2 linked regions of the Ovis aries genome follow. The protein of the gene in region 2 interacts with the protein of the main gene of each other region in a pairwise test. Links are inferred from orthologs where the notes say so. Each region holds a gene or a part of one and is shown on either strand. Other genes may lie near its edges.

Region 1 (10,248 bases), on a different chromosome or scaffold from region 2:
AGGAGGGGCTGATGCCTTCCAGCTGACCACTTCCTCCCGGAAGCCCTCGGGAGGCCTGTTTCACTGGAAGAAAAGCCTACGTTGGGTAGGTCCAGGGAAGTGGGGGGATGCCCTGGGAGAAGACGACATCTTATTGCCCGCTCTGGCCCTGCAGCCGAGTTCCTCTTTCTAAAAAGGGATAGGAATTTACGTGCTTCCCAAGGATATTCTTCTAAAAGCCAGATTTCTAAATTATGTGGTCAGGTAATCCTCACAGCCACTCTAAGAGATAAACACTATTATTCCTGTTTTACAAATAAAGAAGCACGGTTAGATCTCAGCAAGGTTAGATGGGTTGTCCAAGATCACACTGCTAATATAGATTATTTGAACTTTCTACCATCAGAGCCCATATTCCCACCATGCCAAGCCAATGCAAAGAAAACTATTTTCTGATCACCTAGGTGGATACAATGGGGAGCCTGCCTTTTTAGACCTTATGGTGAAACAGCCATTTAGCAAATAATCACACATATATGTTTTTTATTGCATATATATATATATAATTGCAAGCTGAGATAACTGGTATTATGACACAAGTAAGCACATAAAAAACAAGTAAGCTTGAGGGAGAATTAATATGGGCACCTAATTTAGGCTGGAGGGTGAAAGCAGAGACCTAAAGAAAAAGTAGAAGTTTAAAAATTAGTTAGGCAAAGAGCAGGAAGGAGTGGAGTTCCAATAAGAGCCTATGCAAGGGTCCTGGGGTTATAAAAGTCGGAGAGCTTACTCAAGGAACTATCAGGGGACTAGAGTAGATGGCATATACAACTCAAGAAGAAAAGGAGCACAAGGCCGGACGGTAGAGGTGGGCTGAGACCAGACCAGGCGGGCTTGCTGAATTTTATCTCAAATGCAGGGAGAAACCACTGAAAGGTTCCAAGCAGAGGAGAAGCAAGATCCGATTTACAGTGTTACAAATCAGCTTTAACCTTGTGAAGCTGTGTGGAGAATGGATGGTAGGAGGGCAAAAGAGCCCAGTCAGAACAGTCCAGGCAGCACACAGGTTAGCACAGCCCAGGAAACTGCCAGCGGTGATAAGTGAGTGAAAGCTACCCAGTCGTGTCCGACTCTGTGCGACCCCATGGACTATACAGTTCAGGCCAGAATACTGGAGCGGGTAGCCTTTCCCTTCTCCAGGGTATCTTCCCAACCCAGGGATCAGGTCTTCCCAACCCAGGTCTCCCGCCAGTGGTAATAAAGGAAACTAATCAGTGTGTGGCTTGTGCTACAGCAAAGTTCCAGGACTGCAAAGCAGCAAACTCTACTGGGCTGGGGGACAGGTGGGTGTGGGGCTCCAAAGTGAGGTCTCACCTAAGTGAGGTGTCTGGGCTGCAGAAGGAAAGCTGGGACCTACAGCACAGATGCAAGCCGTGGCTGGGGATGAGACTGCTGGGGAAGAGGGCAGATTGCTTCCAAGGCCCTTGGTATCTTTCCTCCCAATGACACCAGTTATGTGCTAGGCCTTGCATTCGCAGCTTTGAGGTGCTCAAGAATCAGGGACTGTCCCTGCCACCGCAGACCTGGTGATCGAGAAGAGATCTCCCAAATGATTATAGCTCACGGTGGGTATCAGGTGGAGAGGAGTCCCTTTGTGGGAGAGAAATGAGTTTTATAGAAGAAAAAATAAGGACCTGCGGGCATTCAAAGGAGGTGGGGGTGGGGTGGAGAGAGAGAGAGGAAGAGGGAACATCTATGAAGGTTTCTGGGAAGAGGCGGTATTCAAGATGTTCCTTGAAGGATGGATAGGATTTCCGGAGCTGGAGAAGGGGAGAAATCAGGGTGAGATGCCTGTTCTGGGCAACAGCAAGGTCACGGGGCAGGTCAGAGTAGAACACAGTGTCCTGGGGCAATGGGAGAAGAGGGAAAAGGAAGGTTCCGGCAGGTTCTGGCTGGCCACAGGGGGTAGCAGGGGAGGTGGGGAGGGCCTAGCGGCAGGTCTGGGGCCCCTGTCCTCCTCTGCCACATCCCCATAACTCCTCCAGCACTGTGTGCTTAGCAGGCCCTCAGCAGGTGTGGGCTGAACTGAACTGGCCCCCACTTTTCCCCCCAGGCGCGGCTCCCTCTGGTCCCCGACCCCATCTAGAGGGGATAACAAACAGGAAATAATGAGACCCAGGAGCTGGACAGACATCAGGTCCCAGTACAGGGTGCCATCCCCCAAGACAATACCAGCTCCATGCCCCCACTCCCCCCGACCCCATCATCACTGATTTTACAGGGTACTTGAAGCTCGCCCAGGCCCTCACCAGCAGGCAGGTCACCATGGCCTCCTAGCAGCCTGCCCCAGCAAGGAACAGATTAGGAGTCCTGATTTAAAGAGGAAATGGACTCAAAAGAGGTTGAGTGACCTGCCCCCGGCCACACGGGAAGAGCTGTCCTTTAAAGACTTCTGCCAAAGGGGCCTTGGTCCGTGGGCTGAGATTCTCTGCAACTCAGAAGTAAGAATGGGGAGGGGAGGACCTCTATTTCTGATCTAGCCAGAGCTGAGGGCCTCTGGTCTACCCTGGGAGGTCCGACTCCATGGGTTATGCCCCACCTTTGAAAAGGGAGAGGAGGAAGAAGGCGTTGTGGGCACCACCCCAAAGTGATTTGGAGAAGGGAAACATTTCCTCTTTCCACAGACACTACCCCTCAAAGGGTGGTCAGGCCTGCACTGGCACATCCCCATGGGCACAGGGCCCTTGGCATGGGCACACACTATGTCTCAGGTCTGGGCCAGCCTAGAGGACAGGCTTCCGTCCCGGAGTCCCCTCCCCCAGCCCATGCTGGGATCTGGCCCTGAGAGGGTCTGTGCACTACCAGTGCTTCGAGATAAAAGGTGAGGGGGCCCCATTTTCATTCAAAACCCCATCCAACAGTCTTTCGGCTGACTCTGCATTTTGGACCCCAGGAAGGGCACTGCTAGCAGTTTCCCCTCCCCCTGGGCTCTCTCCTGTTGTCCAGGGAAAGAGTGGGCAGGAGAGGGAGTGGCAGAGGAGAGGAAGTCTCCCCAGGCTCCCCCAGACCGTAGAGCCGCTCCCCCGTTTCTAGGCATACATAGCAAATGTGTGGATGGAAACGAAAAGTCTGGACCCGGTCTTTCGGGGCTCCCATCCCCAGTTCCTCTCCCCGTGGCTTCCAGCTTCCCTGCCCCCACTCCACAAATGGAAACAAAATAAGAAAAAGAATGTGGCTTTTACACTCGGTTCCTCCAGTGTCTGTCTGGAGATGGGGGGAGGCTGGCCCGCTGAGCTCTGCAAACTCCCGGGGCTGCAGTGGGCTGACTCGGGGGCGGGGACGGGTGTGAACAGATTGTATCCGCAGCTTCCAGGACAGGATGGAGATCTGGCCCAGGCCTCTTATCGCTCTTTCCCTCCAGCCTTCAGGATCAAAAACAGAAGAAGGGGCGTGGCTAGGGGAGGCCTTCCCTACGCCCCCTGCTGGGTGAAGCCGGGAGGTCCTGAAGCAGAAGCGGGGCTTCCTCCTACCTTCAGCCAGGGAAGCGGGGGTTTCACCATGGCCCTGATCCGCCCCCCAGACTCCTCATACCCAGGGCTCCCCACCATACCCTCCCGGGGCTGCCTATCTGGATGGCAGACAACAGCCCAGCTGTAGGGTCACTCAGCTCAGCCACGTAACCACCAGCGCTGTTTCCTCAGGTGTAAAGGGAGATAATGTCCCTCTCCCAGATTGTCGGGATTCAGATTTGTAAAACAGAGATAAGGTCCCAGGCACACAGTGGGCGCTCCACAGATGTTAGCATCCCATTCTCTCCAGCTCCCACCCAGAAAAGGGTCACGATCCTCTTCCCGTCATAACACCCGGGTACCACGAGACAGCCATGAGCGCATGCAAGACCAGGAGCAGAGTGCATTACGTCGGCGATCTTGCCTAACCTCAGCCGTCTGAGGGAGGTTCTGCTTAGATCCCTGTTTTACAGACGAGGAAACACGCTCGGAGAGGTTGTCACACTTAGTAAATGGCAAAGCCAGAACTCAAGCTACACAGCCTACTCCACAGCAACCCCTCCTACCTCATGGAATTCCCAGGGCAAGCAATAAAAAAAGGCAGGTGCGTTTCCTCTCCAGCCTAGACTAGCGATAAGAAATAGAGACCCTTCCCCCTCCAAACACACAACACAATCACAGACCCCTCCCCCTTACACATTCAGTGCCCTAAGTCACCTCCCCCTGCAGCACACAAACACATTGATACCCCTCCCGACTCTGGATCTGATTCTCCTCAAACACACTCTGACCCTCTCACCCAATACTTTTAAGCCATTGACCCCCTCCCCAGCACACACCCAACCTTGACCTCCCCACCCCTAAAACACACCCAACCCTCACCTCCCTCCCAAAACACACACAACCATCACCCTCCCCACAAGGCACACAGAATCCCAAGCCTCCACAGTAAATACCAGTCCTCAAGAGACCAAACCTCCAGGACTGGTTTGGAGGGGGAGATCTCGTACCATCCCTGGAACTTCCCACTCTGGCTTCCCGGGAGAGAGAGATAACAGCAGGACAAATACCCACCCGTCGCCACTGACCTAGAGAACAGTTCTGTCCTTCCACAGGCCACTGAGTCTCTGAAGCACACCCAGGGTCCAGCCTCCCCCCACCCCAGCTTGGCGAGAGGGATGGAAGGATGGACAACACCTTTGTTGGCGGCAAGTGGGAGGAGGGGGCCTCCTGTGCCAGGCTGCCTGCAGAATGGGTGGCAGGGGACCAGAACATATAATCACTCCTGGTGGGGATGGGGGCCACAGCTGTCCACCCTCCTGGGAAATGCCTGGCCCCCAGCACTGGCCCTCAGGTGGGGGGAGTGAGGCTGCCTCCAGGTCTGAACTTTGATTTGTCATGCTGCACTACGCAGAGCTGAAAGCCAGGGTTACCAGGTCCCACAGCCTTCCACGAGAAAGAGGGAGATGCCTGGCTCCCTCAGGGTGGATGGGGAGGTTCCTGACCTAAGGGGAAGGAAGGTCAGGGAGAAGCTCAGAAGCTGGGGGTCTGGGTAAAAAGAGGTGTTGTTGTTTACTAGGAAGAGGCAGGGAAACCCACTGGCTCACAGAGGGAGGGGGGCAGGAAGGGGCATTGCTTAACCAGAAATGTGGGCACCCCACCCTGGGGGAAGAAGGTTACCAGGGTAGGAGGTGGGGTACCCGGAAACCCTCCCCACCCACCTCGAAGAAAGAGGAAGAAGCTTGCAACATTCGAAAAGGAGAGCAAAACACTCGCTTGTCCGGCACAAGACAGGGGTCAGGCCAGCCCTCCGTGAGCCAGGCCCCAGGGGGACAGCGTCCAGGGCCCTGTTCCCAATCACCTGGGGAAGAGCAAGCTGTCCACCAGCACCAGGCTGAGCGCTCTCGGTTTCTCCCTCCCTAAAAACCCCACCCTGGCGGGAAGCAAGACACTCTAGTTCCTGGAACTGGGATGTGAACTCCAGTTCCCACACAGATCCCAGGCACCCCAGACCCACTTGCCCCTTCTCCAGCATCCCCTAACTCAGAGATTGGCCTCTCCCATCACCGAGCACAGACTGAAGACCAGGCCAGAATCATTCTGACTCCCAGGTCATGATGCTGCCCGCTGTGCCCCCTCCATGGGAGGAAACAGAAGGTGAGGTTTGAGGAGGCAGCATCCGCCTGCCCCCTTCCCCGGGGCACAGAGGGTAGGGACCGAAAGGAACACAGACTTAGAGCCCCTGCTCTCAGCGGCTGGTGGGGCTGGAGAGGGAGGGGGCCACCGAGCAAGCCAGAGGAGGCGAGCCAGGAAGCAGTGGTGGCGGTGGGCAGCCGGCCAGTGCGGGCAGTGAGGCGCCCAGCCAGGGCCTGCCCCAGGGACAAAGAGACTCCCTGGCTCCGGGGAGAGTGCGCTACCCCCAAGCTGGGAAGGGGGCACTGACCCAGCCCAGCCAGGCGCACAGGGCAGCGGTGCCAGGCAGCTTGCCAGTGGCATGGGAGAGGCGGTGGGTGCCCAGGGCAGGCTGTTCAGTCCCTGCCTGCCAGGAGAGGTGGGACACGTTTCCCAGGTCAACAGCTGACCGGCCAGGCCAGTCCGCCGTCCATGGCCCCCTTCTACGGCTTCCACCCCCTCCTGCCCCAGGCCAGGCCCCGGCTCCCTCCTCCCCCAAACCCTGGCCTGGCGCCCAGCTGGGCCCTGGGGGCCAGAGTTACTGTAAGCCGCCTGGCAGGACCGAGGCCTGGACTCTGCCAGCTGGCCTCAGTGCCGCCACCTCCCACTACCTGGCTCGGCCAGCCAGGGAAGGGTACCGAGACCCCCACCCAGCCAACAGGCGACCCCCCATGGCAGACGGCGGAGGCGGAGAGAAAACACAGGCCCTGCCAAGAGCAGGCCTGCGGCCACAGCCAGAGTCCAGGCCTGTGTCCCCTCCCGGACTCTCCCCCCATCCCCAGGCTGCCTGTGGGGCCCTCTCCTGCCCCGGCGCCCTCCCCACAAAGGGAAGCACCACCCCGCCTGGCCAGCAGTGAGGGGAGGGGGTGCTACTCCAGTCCCTTCTCTCAGAGGCACTGGATGGGGTGGGCTGGAGGTGGGGTGCTGTTCTCAGCAGACCAGCCATCCCCACCAAATGTCGAGAGGTTTGTTTACCCAACTCCAGCCTCCTTGTCCAGTGCTTGGAGCTATTTATAAGGCCCTCAACGGCAGAGCACATGAGGGGGCGCGAGGGGCCAGAGGACAGCATTGTCTCAGCTCTCCACACTCCGTGCCACCTCCCAACAAAAAACACAACCACGGCGATTAGCCTACTGGCCTTTCATCCTCAAGCCCGCTTGTCCAGCAGGTCCCCCCCGTCTGGAGGAGACCTGGCCGCTGAGGAAGAGATGTGCCCAGAGGCCCAGCCTTGGGCCTGCCGCCCTCCACAGCCCCCTCCCACAACACTCCCCGACCCCACTTACTGGCTGGGGATGGCGTGCTATAGCCGCTCACTGGAAGCTGGTGCTGGAGAGTGGTCAGAGCGCCTGGGGGGGAGAGTCCACCCAGCATGGGGGGGAAGAAGAAGGCGTAGGGGGGCACCGGGTACCCATTGAGGTGCCCTCCCCCAGGTGTTGGGCAGGAGCTGCTGTTGCTGGCCATGCCAGGCGGCCACAGTCAGAAGCACAGGCAGACAGTCTGGCGGGCTTCAGGCCGCCTCTCCTCGGGGCATGGGGCCTGGGCCCAGAGGGGGCTCGGGTGGTCAGCCCACCCCCCCTTCTGTCCCGGAGCTGCAGTCCAAGGCCAGCGGGCTAATCTCAGGCTCCTGGCACCCCCACTCTAGGGGGAGCCGGTGGGCTGAGGGATGTCCCGAGAGCCAGTCCTTTAGTCAAGCGGTTCTGCGAGCTGGCACTTTCCCGGGAAGGTCCAGAGCAGGCCTTCAGGATGACGAAAAGGAAGCCTCTCCTGGGTGGGCCCCGGCTAGGCGGCTGTGGGGGCCATGTCCTGTGATGCTGCAGAGAGAGAAAAGACAGGTGAGTGGACACCGAGGAGCGGGCTCACGGGCATTCCCCGTGGAGCTCCCCAACCTGGGCGGCCGGAGATTTTCCCGTGGCACCCGGCTGAGCAGACAGCTGGCACCATGCCTGGCTGGCAGAAACAGCCTGGGAGTAGGGCCCAGACACTGCTGGGGGCGGCAGGACAGCACAGCCAGGCTGGGGAGACGGGGACAGAGCCCAGAGCGAGGAGGGCCTCTCACCCACAGTCCTGAGAGCAAAGCGTCCACGCTGCCATGCCACCCCAGAGGATTCCTGCAGCAGAGAAAGGCAGCTGGCCCTCCTTCCCCCAAAGCAGGTTACCTGAGGTCAAGATACAGAGAACGTGTGCTTGAGAGGAGGAGGGAGGGGGAGGAAAAGCCGCTTCCCTAAAGCATTGGCACTTCTCAGAAAAATGACTCCTAAGCCAGGGGGCCTTACTTACACCACTTCCCCCCCAAATCCAAGCCTGAGCACCCCAGATGGGTTTGTCCCACAGACCCAGGGAGGAGGCCCGTTTACATACCTACAAATAGGGAAATGGGAGCTGAGGACTCCTGAGTATCATCTCCATTGCCTAACAGCATGATGGGCTGGGGGTGGAGAGTGTGCCAGGGGACTACCTAGCATGGAAGCCCCCTACTCCCCTCGCCCACGATGAAGAAGCAAGGGAAACTGAGCTCAGACTTCACCCACATCCTCTGCCTGGAGAAGCAACCTCCCTGGAGGGAGTGGGAGGTGAGCAGAAGATGAGAGCCCAGATGCCCCCACCACCATCAGTGTATACACAGATCCACACCCTGTTTGAACAGCTGGGGCCTGAGGATACACAAAGATAACACCGCAGGTAGCAAGAGACAGAGGTGAACCCAGAAATTCCACGACACAGTGAGACAGACAGGCAGCAACAAGAGTAAAGAAAGAGACAGAGAGACAGAAGCATCCACAAGAGGGCCAGGAGGATATATATGAAGAATATCAATAAACATGCATGTATTTATATATGAGTGTGTGTATACACACACATACACACACCTGTGACATATATGAAAAAGAAAAGAGAAACATGACTAATCAAAGCCACAATGAGATACCATCTTGCATCCACCAAGATGGCTATAATCAAGAAGACTGATAATAAGTAGGTGAGGATGTGGAGAAATTGAACCTTCATACATAGTTGGCAGGAATGTTAAATGGTACAGCTGCTTTGGAAAACAGCCTGGCAGTTCTTCAGGAGGTTAAACACAGAGTAATACGACCCAGCAATTCCACTTCTAGGTATCTACCCAATTGAAGGTAAAACATTAAGTCCACACAAACACCTGTACCTGGATACGAACCTTCACACCAACACTCCTCATAGCCAAAAGAGTAGAACCGACCCAAATGTCCATCAACAGATGAATGGATAAATAAAATGCCGAACATCCATACAGTGGAATAGTATTCTGCCATAAAAGGAACAAGGCACTGGGACTTCCCTTGTGGTCAGTGGCTAAGACTCCGCGCTCCCAACGCAGGCAGCCTGGGCTTGATCCCTGGTCAGGGAACTAGATCCCACATGCTGCAACTAAAAGTTCCCATGCCGCAGCTAAAGATCCCACACATGGCAACGAAGATGAAGGATCTCGAGTGCCGCAACCGAGACCTGGCGCAGCCAAATAAACAAACACATGAATATTTTCTAAAAAGGGACAAAGTCCTGACACATACTACATCACGGATAAACCTTGAAAACAATCTGCTAGTTGTAAAAGACCACCTGTTGTATGATTCCCTTTATATGAAATGTCCAAAACAGGCAAATCTAAAAAGGCAGAGTAGATTGTGGTTAGTTACGGGGTGGGGGGGTGGTGTGGGTGTGGGTTTGAGGGAAATGGGAAGTGACTGCTGAATGGTATGGGGGCTCTTTTTGGAGTGATGAAAAATTTCTACAAGTGAACGTGGTGATGGTTGCACAACTCTGTGACTATAGTAAAACCACTGAATTGTACACTTTACTAGGTGGATTTTATGGTACACGAATTACATCTCCATAAAGCTGTTAAGGGGAGGAAGGGAAGAGAAAAGAGAAGAAAAGAAAACAGGGCCACAGAGACTCAAAATAAGGATGGCCTCCAACCCCTTCCTCTCCAAGCTCAGGCCATAATACCATGTTCCAAGCTCCAGGCTCCAGGCTCAGACCTGGAGTCCAGGGGACATGCACATGGCCAGCATTTGGCCAAGAACGATGCCTGAGATGGAGGAGTTCTGCCAAGGCCACTGTGGACGAGGCCAGGACTTCTGGGCCCAGCTGTACGAGCCAGCCAGCCTGTGACTGTGCGGGGCTGAGGGGGGAGGTGGGGACAGGTACTTGCAAGGGAGGGGGGCAGCTCCCCAGGAGTGAAATCTGGACCTTGTTAATGACCATGATTTTTACTGTTACTAATTATGACCTCCTCAGGGCCTCTCTTACTCCTGAATGAGGTGCCCCCTTCCTTCCCCAGGCCCCCGCCGATTCCCTCCCAGGCAGACAGGCTGATGTCAGAGGAACAGGGGCCCCACCCATTGGGCCAGCTGCCGACCTGGCCCCCCTACACACCCCTGAGGGGCCCTACACAGGGGAACTCGAGCTAGCACAAGAATGAGGGGCAGGCTCAGCCTCAGTAGTGTTGACAGTCAGACCCTCACTCACACACACACACACACACACACACACACACACACACACACACACACTTGCAGGCACTTACACACACAGTTCTAGGGAAAGT
Region 2 (10,837 bases):
GGGAGTCCTTGAATGCCAGGGCTCGGGACACTCAAAGGCCTTCACAAGCCACAGGAGGGCAGGCGCTGAGGCGGGAGGTGGGCTCAGGGAGGCTGGAGGGAGCTGGCAGCTTGCAATTGGTCTGGCCACCAAACCTGTCTGTCTATAGTTAACCTCCCCGCCCCCATCCCCGCCCCAGTGGACAAGCCTGGACACGGGCGTCCAGTCTCAGGCCTCAGGGTTCCTGGATTCACTGGCCTGCAGAGACCCAGAATTCCCACCTCATCAGGGAATTACCTTCATAATTACAGGCACTCAGAAATCCTAAGCATGGACTGCGTGGGGGCCCTGCGCCAGAGCAGACACATTCTCTCGCCTGACCCTCAGGCCACCTGGCCAAAGCCGCACTGGCTCTGCCATCCTCACTTCAGAGACAGGGAGACTCATGCTCAGAGGCACCATTTCCCGCAATCACACACAGCAAACAAGGGCACAGCCAGGACTTGAACCCGGAACCCATTCACTCCAAAAATTTGAGTGGAAGTAGTGTCCGTGGAGCACCCATGTTATGCTGATCCTGGGAGCTGGGAGATCCCTGCAAGGGCCAGGACTCCAGATCTGAGTGGAGATCCACCAGCCAGAGCCGGAAGCCCAGGGAGGCAGGATCGCCTGTCAGCCCAGCCACACACCCATGCTATTTTGGGCAAGACCTCAGCTAAGCTGAGCTCTCACTCAGTGGGACTCAGATGCTACACATCAACCAGAAGCCAGAAATCTGGGCTCACACTCTGATGGGTGATTGTGGCTCCAGCTCTTAGCCCCTCTGAGCCTCAGTTTCCTCTTCTGTGTAATAAAAACAAAAATTCCTCCCACCCCCAGATAACACAAAGGATGGAATGAGTCACCTTGCTGTGACCCGGACATTGACATCAGATAGAGTAAAAGTCAAGACCGAGAATTTGGATAAAACAGCCAGAAAGAGGAGCTCCCCAGGTGGTTCAGTGGTAAACAATCTGCTGCCAGTGCAGGAGACCTGGGTTCGACCCCTGGGTCGGGAAGATCCCCCGGAGAAGGAAATGGCCACCCACTCCAGAAGAATTCCACGGACAGAGGAGCCTGGCGGGCTACAGTCCGTAGGGTCACAAAGAGTCGGACACAACAGCAGATCTTGACAGAGCAGACCAAGCTTCCGGACGGCACTCCAACCCCGACTTCCATCCCATTGCCGCAGGAGTCCACCTGCACCAGCCTCACAGCCCAGCAGGTCTGAGGACCCCAAAGACCCATCCCCACAGTCTCTCAACAGCCCCCAGCCCCACTGACATCCCCAGGCCCACCCAGCATCAACAAGGACACGGCCGGAGCCAGGCCCTGGAGACCCCCTGCTAGGATCCCTGTCTCAGAACCTCAGGAGGGAAGAGCCCTCACCAGACAGTTGAGGAACCCAAGGAACAGAGCACAAAGAGGCCTGGACAAGATCACTGGACTACTTCTCCTCTCTGGCTTCTCATTTTGTTCTGGAACTTTGCTGGACAGTTTCAAGAGGAGGAGAGGAACTCAGGCCCAGGTTGCAGGGGAAGTCACTTGCTCAAGGTCTTGCAGCAAGGAGCGGGGAAATTGGGGTTCTGACTTCCAGCTCTGGGATCTTCCCCAAGCATCTACTCCTTGACTCAGCCTCCCCGACCCCGGCATTGTACTGTGGGGCTGTATTGCGAACAAGCTGGCTGGGTGGGGAGAGCCCTGGATGAGAAGATAGGAGATGTGCATTTTTCACCCTGCTTGAATACTATGTCCTGCGTCTTTCTGGCCTCAATTCCCCCATCTGTAAAAAGAGAAGCTCAGAATAGATCAGGAAAGACAAACTCATGGCACATACACAGTGATATCTAACATTATTAATCTATCACAGCACCCTTTCCCGTGAAGCCTCAGACTGGGCCGCAGCATGTTTTTTAACAGAGCAGTCCAGGTCTGGGGGATCTGAGTCCCAGGGCCATCCCTAGATTGGGCAACATATGAGTCCTCCCCAAGGGAGGGGAGGGTTTCCCAGGTGGCGCTAGTGGTAAAGAACCCAACTGCCAGTGCAGGAGACACAAGAGACATGGGTTCGATCCCTGGATCTGGAAGATCCCCTGGATGAGGGCATGGCAACCCACTCCAGTATTCTTGCCTGGAGAATCCCACGGACAGAGGAGCCTGGCAGGCTACATCCATAGGGTTGCAAAGACTCAGACATGACTAAAGTGACTTAGCATGTGCGCAAGGGAGGAGAAGGGAGAAAGAAAGACGTAACATTTACTGGACATCCAGTAGTTTCAAGTGCTGAGAGACATTTGTTGATTTAATCCTAAGGAGGGAGGTGACGTTCAGAGAGGCTGAGTGATCTGCCTTTGGACAGACAGCTGGGAACCCGGCCTTGAACACAGGGGAGGTACCTCTGGGGTCACCCCCCCCCCCAGGAATAGTGATGCAGAGCCAGCCACCAGGTGAGAGCCTAGGTTATGGCCTCACCTCGTCCTCCTTTTGGACCTACTAAGTGCAAGCCCCATGCCCATTTTACAGCATTAGAAACTGAGTCACAGGAAGGGGGTGTCAGCTGCCAGAAAACGATGGACTTGACCATGTATCTAGCTGTTCCCACCATTCATCCAGCTAATGTAAACGCTTTATTTCAGTCCCCTTGGGACACCGCAGGAGCCATGACTCATACCATCCCACTTCATAGATGAGGAAATTGAAGTGCCCCCAAAGGAAGCGGTCCCCAACCCTCTAGGGGCTCAAGTGGAGACCAGAGTGGTTTACCATGGAGATAAGTGGGGAGGAGCAGCGGAGGGGAAGTAAAGGGCTGGGGGAACCCAGGAGAGATAGAGGCTGGGTGGCCACACAGCTAAGGCAGGAAGTGAGGCTCTGGTCAAAAGGCCCAGGGCAGGGGGCGGAGGCCTCTGAAGGGTCTCTTAGGACTAGGAGCCCAGAGCCCCAAGCCTAGGTTCAGCTCTGTCACTTGGCAACTGGGAGACCCTACCAAGTGTCTTCCCCCTCCGGGTCTCAGTATTCACAGGTAGAAAAATGGCTAATATCACTGAAGGCAAGGTTTCCAAAAGTTGGGACAAGCTGGACCCATAGAGCTCTCCCCAACTCAGCCTCCTCACACACAGGGCAAAGCAGGACTCCGGTCACCCAGTATATGGACGGCCTTGGCCACCAACATCCTTTCTGAGGCCAGCACCTTCAGAATTAGTGAGCCCATTCCCTTGAAGCCTTCATGGGACAGCTGCAGAGGGGTCAACTCATCGAGGCAACTAACCCTCCCAGTGTTCACACTGCACAGGGCAGGGCCCACTTCCCTGAGGACCTGCTGGTTCCAAGCATTAGGCTTACAGCCCTCCTTGAACCCTCACCCCATAGGGAGATATTTACTGTTCCCATTTTCAAGACAAGGAAGCTAAGTCTCAGAAAGACAGGATGAACGAGCCAAGGACACCTGGCAAGCAGGCATGGTCAGAACTTGAATGCAGGCCTGTCTGACTCCTGAGCCCTTACTGTACCTTAGTCTCCAGCTCCCCAGCCAACTGCTTCCTGCTCCCAGCCTCCATCCAGCCACTCTGCATGGCACTGCCCCTACCCTGGCTCTCACCCTCTCCTGCTTTCCTGCTACAGAACTCCTACTCTACTTTCAAAGCCCAGCCTCCAGTGCCTCCTCCTCTTGACACCTGATCTACGCCCCCACAGAATACGTGGAGTCCAGCCCACAGATTTACTTCTCCCAGGTGACTTGGTCAGCTCAGACCTCCCTGGTCCCCAAATTGGAGCTGTTCACACAGGCGACACCAATTGGCGCCTTGTGCGAAGATGGAAGCCAGACTCCTTCCCAAGGCCCATGTGGCCCCACATGGCTCAGCCCTGCTGATAACATCCCCTCGTTTCACCTCTCATCTGCTCGTCTTAATTTTCTGTGCTCCAGACTCACAAGCTCTCCCATTGTTTCTCCAGAACAGCACACACTCCCCACCTCAGGGCCTTTGCACATGAGTTCCCTCTGCCTGGTAAGCCCTATCCCCAGCTCCACGCCTGGCGGACTCCTCTATGCTTCTTTCACGACTTTTCTGCACCCCACACCTCTCTCTCAACCCTTATCACATCTGTGATTATATATTCATTTACTTGGTAACTTGTTTGCTATTATACTTGGCTCACCCTCTAGACTTACATTTCTGGGCAGCCAGGACTGTTCACAATTCCCCAGCAAGGACCCACCCAAACTGACCACTCCCACACATGTCCCAGAGCCTCCCCCAGGGGCCCTGGGACATGTCTGAGCTGAAAGGAAGAAAAGAGTACTGTGTCCCCTTCTTTGTTGAGGAAAATGTTGCTCCCCGCCCCCCGCCCCTGTCACCACCTCCTGGAAGCCTCCCAAGGTCTCCTACAGCTCCCACTGCTAACCCATCACACACTGCTCAGCTCAAGATCAAAGCCCGTAGAACATCATAGGTACTCAACACAGGGCCATGGATGCTTGTATCTCGGCAGGTTTGGGAAAATGGGGTCAGTTGAGGTTCAGGGAATGGGTGGTTGGTCACAGGCCACTGAGCCGTCTCCTTCCTGGCTCCTGGGGTTTGAGGGAGCCAGACAACCTCCCCCCACCCACCACCCCACCACTCCCAGGTCAGGTCACAATCAGGGTAGAAGCCAAAGCAGGAACTGGCTATGCACTGGGGATACTTCACGCCTGGGAAGAGGCTAGGGGAGAGGAGGAGAAAGCTGGGAGGCCTTCCTGGAAGAGGTGGGCCTTAAACGAAGCCTTAAAGAGCAAAAGCAGACAAGCAGCTCTTAGAGGAGAGGGCACTCCCGGCAGGGAAACCCTCAGGAGCAAAGGCCCTGGAGTCACACAGGAGGGCCTAGGCAGGCAGTCAGCTGAGAGGTGACACACTGTAAATCATTTCCTTGGGTGGAAAGACCACATCACCACAGCACACCACCTCACCCAAAGGGCCTCGTGGCATCCACACAATCACTCATCCGAGTCTCTTCCAACACTGTCGTGTGCCTGGTCCCATACTGAGAAACACCCATTCCTCCATCACGGGAAGGGAACAAGGACAGCCCGACCGGGCACTCTGAGCTCTAGGCTCTCATTCCAGCTTCAAACTATGTGGCTCGGTCAAGTCACTTCCGCTCTCAGAGCCTCAGTTTCTTCCCCAGCAAAAAGGGGATACACAAAAGTCCCTACCTCCTAGGAGGTACTCGATAGATGTTAGCAGCTATCATTCTCACAAGCCCATTTTATACTGAACAAACCTGAGGCCAGAAGGAGAAGCGAGTTGTCTCAAGTGCTGGGTGGCAAGACTGCACTGAGGCTGGTTCCTCCTCAAGGGGTTAGGAGGTGGCTTTGGGGACACCGATCCACCCTCTTCTGGAATAAGCCCCACAAGAGCCAGCCATCTCATCTCATGCCCATCTTTTTCAGGCCATTCATCCAGTGCCATGCTCATTTATTGAACACCTACTACATGCCAAGGCCCTACCTGCAGAAGTGCCTACAGGTTTCCCCTGGGGATCCCCACCGCACACAAGCAGACTCAGAGGGGCGGTCCTTTGGCCCAGGTAGCCCAGTGTGACCAGAAGCCGAGGTCTTGTCTCTCCAGCCAGAAAGCCAAGATGAGGGTCAGCAACAGCGTCAGCCTGCTCCATTCTTAAAATCAAGTCTGATCTCAGCTGACTGAAGCCAGGCCTGGAGTCACCCCAGGTGATCCAGAGACCACTGCCCCAACTGGACAGAGTCCCTGAAGCCGGGGACACCTCACCCAGGGCCCCACAGGCTCTGCCGACTCTCAAGTCCGCCTGAAGGCCCCAGAGGTTGAACTGCTACCCCACAGGTGAGCCCCTTCTGTTCACCCAGTCCTTCCACCAGCCCAGTAGGCTCAGCCAGGCCCACAGCTGGACCTGACAAGGGCCCCCAGCTCAGAGAGGGCAGGCAGTTGCTCAAGGAAGCACAGCAGGGCAGGAAAGCGGAGCCCCCACTGGGACTCAAACCCACCACCAACCCCAGCCCAGGCAGGCAGATGGACCCGGCCTGGGGGCCAAATCTTAAACTTTTGCCAACTTCTGAGCAGACCGGAGGTAGGGCCTGCCCAGAGAGGAGGCTGGGGGCTGTGGGCAGCTGGGACCAACCACAGTTTGGCCCAGTCCTTTCCAGGCCGGCAGCACCAGGCCCTACCCAAGGCCCCACGAGGACAAGGAGATCCTGGTGTTCTGGCCCGGCACCCCCTGCCCGGCGCCCCCCCAGGCCCACCCTGCCGGCCCTTCTCCACCTCCCATCCCGGGCTGGGGGCGCCAGGCTGGGTAGCGGCGGCCAGAGGCGGCGCCGACTGGTTCAGATTTCAGATTTGGCCTAGACCTGGCCTGGGGGCTCGGGCCCGGCTCGCTGCTCTCAGGGGGCCCGCAGAGGGAGCATGAGCGGGAGGGGGGGGTCCTCGCGAGGACAAGACCCCTACGCCCCCCACCAAACCCCTCCCCCCCCCCCGCGGCATCACAACAAAAGGCCGCGCCAGACAAGTCCCGGTGCGCCCGCCCTGCGCCCCGGGATCGCCGCTTGGCTCGAGGGGTGAGGTTTGGAGGGGGGCAGGAGCCCCCGCGGCCCAGCGATCGGACGCCAGGGTGGTCCCCGGGCGGGGGGCTCCCTCACGCGGGCCGGGAGCCGGGGCCGGCGGAGGGGCGGGGGGCGCTCACCTGGACCGGCAGGCAGACGGACGCACCGGGCAGACAGACGCACTGGAGGACGGACCGCCGGACGGCCAGGGGTTCGGGCACACGGCGGCCTGGCCGCTCCGGCTCCCGGGCCGGAATGGATTCCGGGCCAGGAGAGACAGATCGAGAGAGAAAGGGAGGCGGAGGAGGAGGAGGAGGCGGCGGCCCGGGGAGGGGAAGAGGAGGGAGGGAGCGCGCGAGCAGGGAGGAGGGGCCCGGCAGGCCGCCGGGAGGGGGAGGAAGAAGGAAGCGTGCCGGGACGGGTCCCCGCCGGTGACCTGGGAGAGTCCCGCGCGCGGCCTCCCCACGCCCGGGGTCCCGGCGGCCAGGGAATGGAAGGGCGGGGGCTCCGGCCACGGAAGCCCCGCCCCCTACCCCGCCCTGAGAGTGCTCCCTTCCCATGGGGCACCCACCCATCAGCTCTCAAGCCAAAATACCCTCCCCAACTCCTCCCAACCCACCCACCCAACTGACCCCAAGTCTACCTCTCATGAAATTATTACTGATAATCAGTAACAGCAGCACTGATGGAGAACTCATTCCTTACCCGGTGCCATGCTAAGCTGTTCAGGTCAACTTTAGGATCTATTCCTACCAACCAAGTGGGCTGGGCAGGCCAATGATCACCCCCATTTTACAGATGAAGAAACTGAGGCACAGAGAAGGGACTCACCTGACAAAAGCCAGGTCTTGGACCCTGGCCTTAACCTGAATTTCCCAAACTGGGGACTGAGACAGGCAGGACAGTGTGGTAAGGAGCAGCATTTTTATCTTAATAGCTATGCATTCATTTTAAAGTGCATCAGAAGAAAAAAAAAAAGTAACTAAGAAGCCAATAAGTTCCAGATAAGGAACTTATAAAGGGCTTCCAGTAAGCCCCTTGCTGCTGCTGCTGCTAGGTTGCTTCAGTCGTGTCCGACTCTGTGCGACCCCACAGACGGCAGCCCACCAGGCTCCACCACCATCACTGGGACTCTCCAGGCGAGAACACTGGAGTGGGTTGCCATTTCCTTCTCCAATGCATGAAAGGGAAAAGTGAAAGTGAAGTCACTCAGTTGTGTCCGACTCTTAGCGACCCCTTGGGCTGCAGCCTACCAGGCTCCTCCGCCCATGGGATTTTCCAGGCAAGAGTACTGGAGTGGGGTGCCATTGCCTTCTCTGAGTAAGCCCCTTAGGAGGGGCCAAAGCAGGTATTCAGTGGCAATTATAGTCAGTGGTAAAGAACCTGCCTGCCAGGGCAGGAGACGTGGGTTCGATCCCTGGCTCGGGAAGATCCCCTAGAGAAGGGAATGGCAACCCACTCCAGTATTCTTGCCTGGAAAATTCCACGAACAGAGGAGCCTGGTGGCAGGTTTCAGTTCATGGGATTGCAAAGAGTCAAACGCAACTGAGCACATGTGCTAGTCCTGCCTTTGGCTTTTCACAGGTCCTCCTGGGATTACTGCACAGGGGAAGGTGGGCCTGAATCCAGCTTTAAATGCCACCATCTGCCTCTGTTTTCCTTCTCTGAAAGTTTTCCCATTTCACAGATGGGAAAGTAAAGCCCAGTCCAGGTCAAATGGTAGAAGCCTGGACTTCTCCTGAGAGGAGCAGGGAGGGAAACTCAAGACTGTGGGAGGCAAGGGCCTCAGGGTACAGTACAGTACCTGGGAGACCAGGAATGAGCAAGGCCTTAAGCTGGACTGATCTGGGTTCAAATCTAGACTGGTTGCCCAGCTGCTGTACCTTCTACGAGTCCATCACCTTCCCCAGCCCAGGTCCCCTCGCCTATGAAACGGGAGTAAACATGTCCACAGACAACTTCCGGGAAGGTTAGAACTGACAAGAGTGAGGGTGGCGAGGTTGTGCTCAACAAAGGTAAAGCGCTTATGGTCCGTAAACTGAGGCCAGAAGGGGAAGGGGCTGCTTGAAGTCCCACAGCAAGTCAGCAAGAGAGCCAGCACCAGAAGCCAACCCTGGCTGGTGAAATGGCTGCAGGTATTTGCAAGGCTGGTTTAAAGATTAACCCCAGCTTCCTAGGATATGCTGGGCGGGGCCCTACCTGGAGGAGCAGGTTTCTCAGCCGTCATTCACTCCTCAGACAGGCCTGCAGGCCTTTACTGGGGGGCCTGGGCTCAGGGCGGGGTGTTCATCCAGTGGTGTGCTGAAGCTGGCTCTTCTCTCGTGCAGAAGCAGATTGGGTTCATCTCTTCCCAACTCCACATTCAGTGATATCATCCTGGTAGCTTGACGTCAGCAGAAGTGGAACTTTTAACACCGCAGAAACCAGCAGACACGACAAATCAAAGCTTTTTTTTTTTTTTTTAAGTCCAGAGAGCTAGTTGTTAAATATTTACCAGCCCATCACTAAATTCATCCCCAGGAGTTCAGTCGAAAGTTCTGGGCTTCTTCTAAAGCTTGGATAACAAGAGTGCTTAAAAGCATAGACTTCAGACCCACAGACCTCGGTTCAAGTCCCGTCTCTGCCACTCCATGGTTACCTCTCCTTGAGGGGAGCAGAGTTTCTCTGAGCCTCACTATGCCAACCTGCAAAAGGAGCTAAAGAGTGCGCTCCCCTCAGAAGACTCACGTGAACGTGAAATGAAGCGATGTTCCCTCAGTGTGTCTCAGCCCTTTTCACACCCTACCACTGTCTTGGAGGAGAGGGGGCAGCTGGGACCCCTCTTGGCTCTGTGAGCGCATATGTGGCCTTCCACCTGGAGCCACCAGTGGCTTGGCTCAGCCACTGAGGTTCTCAGGAGGTCTTTTGGGAGGATGTGGCCAGCACGGTGGTTTCATGATTAAGCGTTGGAAGAGTTCGTTATTTTCAACCACCCCTCTGGGTCTTCACTCAGGCTGTAACCCCCACCAGGAATGCTCGCCCCACCTCTCTAGCTTCCCGACCCTCGCTGTCCATCATGGTCCTAAGTAAGTGTGGCCTCCTCCAGGATAAGTTTCCTGACAATCCTCTGCTGGAGGCACACCCCGAGCCATTTGGGAGTGTCTGTCCCCACCCAGAGGGCAGGGACTCTGGCCTGTCCCCTGGCACAGAGCAGGCACTGCCAAGCGACACTCTCTGGCCAAGAGAGCGCTGGGATTAGGGATATACATACAAGAGTTCTAACTCTTTCATTCATTGACTATGTGATCCTGCCCTCTCTGAGCCTCAGTTTACTCATCAATAAATTGGGAGCAATACCCTTACCAGGATTATGCAGGTGCAAGAGCTGCTTGCTGGTCTGGCCTGGGGAACTGGTGACTGACTCTTTGTATATTATTTTGCTTAAAAGATTGTTAGTAAAACAGCAGCTCATTGCTTCATACCTGCCAATCATTCATCTTTGTCCATGAACGGCAAACACTGGTCACCGATAATATACCCAGCCCTGTGCCAGGCCTGGAACACCAAGAGGGATAATCTCCCAACCCCAAGCACCCAGCAGATGACAGATGTTATTGATGTCAACACCGTGGAGATGGTGAGCACCAGCTGTATACAGTTCTCTGTCTCTGGAAACCTCCTCTCTTTTCCTCCCCCCAACTTGGGTCAAAGCCACAACTGAGGGCAGGATAAAGCATATGGGGTGAGGCCTGTCTCCTCACAGCTGGCAGCAGACCTGTGGCAAGAGTTTTCCCATGCGATGGGATCAGGGCACTGCCTGCACCTCCCCCAGGCTATTCGCCTCACCCACCCTGAGCCCAGCACATCCTTGGAAAGCCACTGGGAAGCTGACCCATCCCAGGCGCTGGGTGGGAAATTCCAGACCCGCCCTCTCATTCCCTAGATAGTCTGCTGCAATTCGAAGAACCAGGCTCAGGGCTACAGGACAAGGTGGAAAAGAAGACAGACTCTGGCCTGAGGCTGTGAAATGGGTTTGGCACCTCTCCTGGCGCTACAATTTACAGTTTACACAGAGATGTCCAGTGCATCAGCCTCGCTAACTGCTCGGGCCTTTCTTGGGAAGCCTCAATCAGTTCAGTTCAGTTCAGTTCAGTCGCTCAGTCGCGTCTGACTCTTTGTGACCCCATGGACTGCAGCACACCAGGCTTCCCTGTCCATTGCCAACTCCCGGAGTTTGCTCAAACTCATGTCCATTGAGTCGCTGATGCCATCGAACCATCTCATCCTCTGTCA

What was found.
Region 1: the proteins of SRC (region 2) and RARA interact in a two-hybrid assay, tested with the Homo sapiens proteins (2 studies listed by BioGRID). The link is inferred for Ovis aries from reciprocal best matches to the Homo sapiens genes SRC and RARA.

The regions. Positions count from the first base shown.
Region 1 is NC_056064.1:40,320,573-40,330,820, reverse strand, and holds part of RARA (retinoic acid receptor alpha), read right to left. Parts: intron 7,819-10,248; exon of another isoform or gene 7,717-7,818; intron 7,472-7,716; 5' UTR 7,122-7,471; coding exon 6,944-7,121; intron 1-6,943. UniProt on the Homo sapiens protein: Receptor for retinoic acid. Retinoic acid receptors bind as heterodimers to their target response elements in response to their ligands, all-trans or 9-cis retinoic acid, and regulate gene expression in various biological processes.
Region 2 is NC_056066.1:66,269,414-66,280,250, reverse strand, and holds the start of SRC (proto-oncogene tyrosine-protein kinase Src), read right to left. Parts: upstream 7,058-10,837; 5' UTR 6,706-7,057; intron 1-6,705. UniProt on the Homo sapiens protein: Non-receptor protein tyrosine kinase which is activated following engagement of many different classes of cellular receptors including immune response receptors, integrins and other adhesion receptors, receptor protein tyrosine kinases, G protein-coupled receptors as well as cytokine receptors.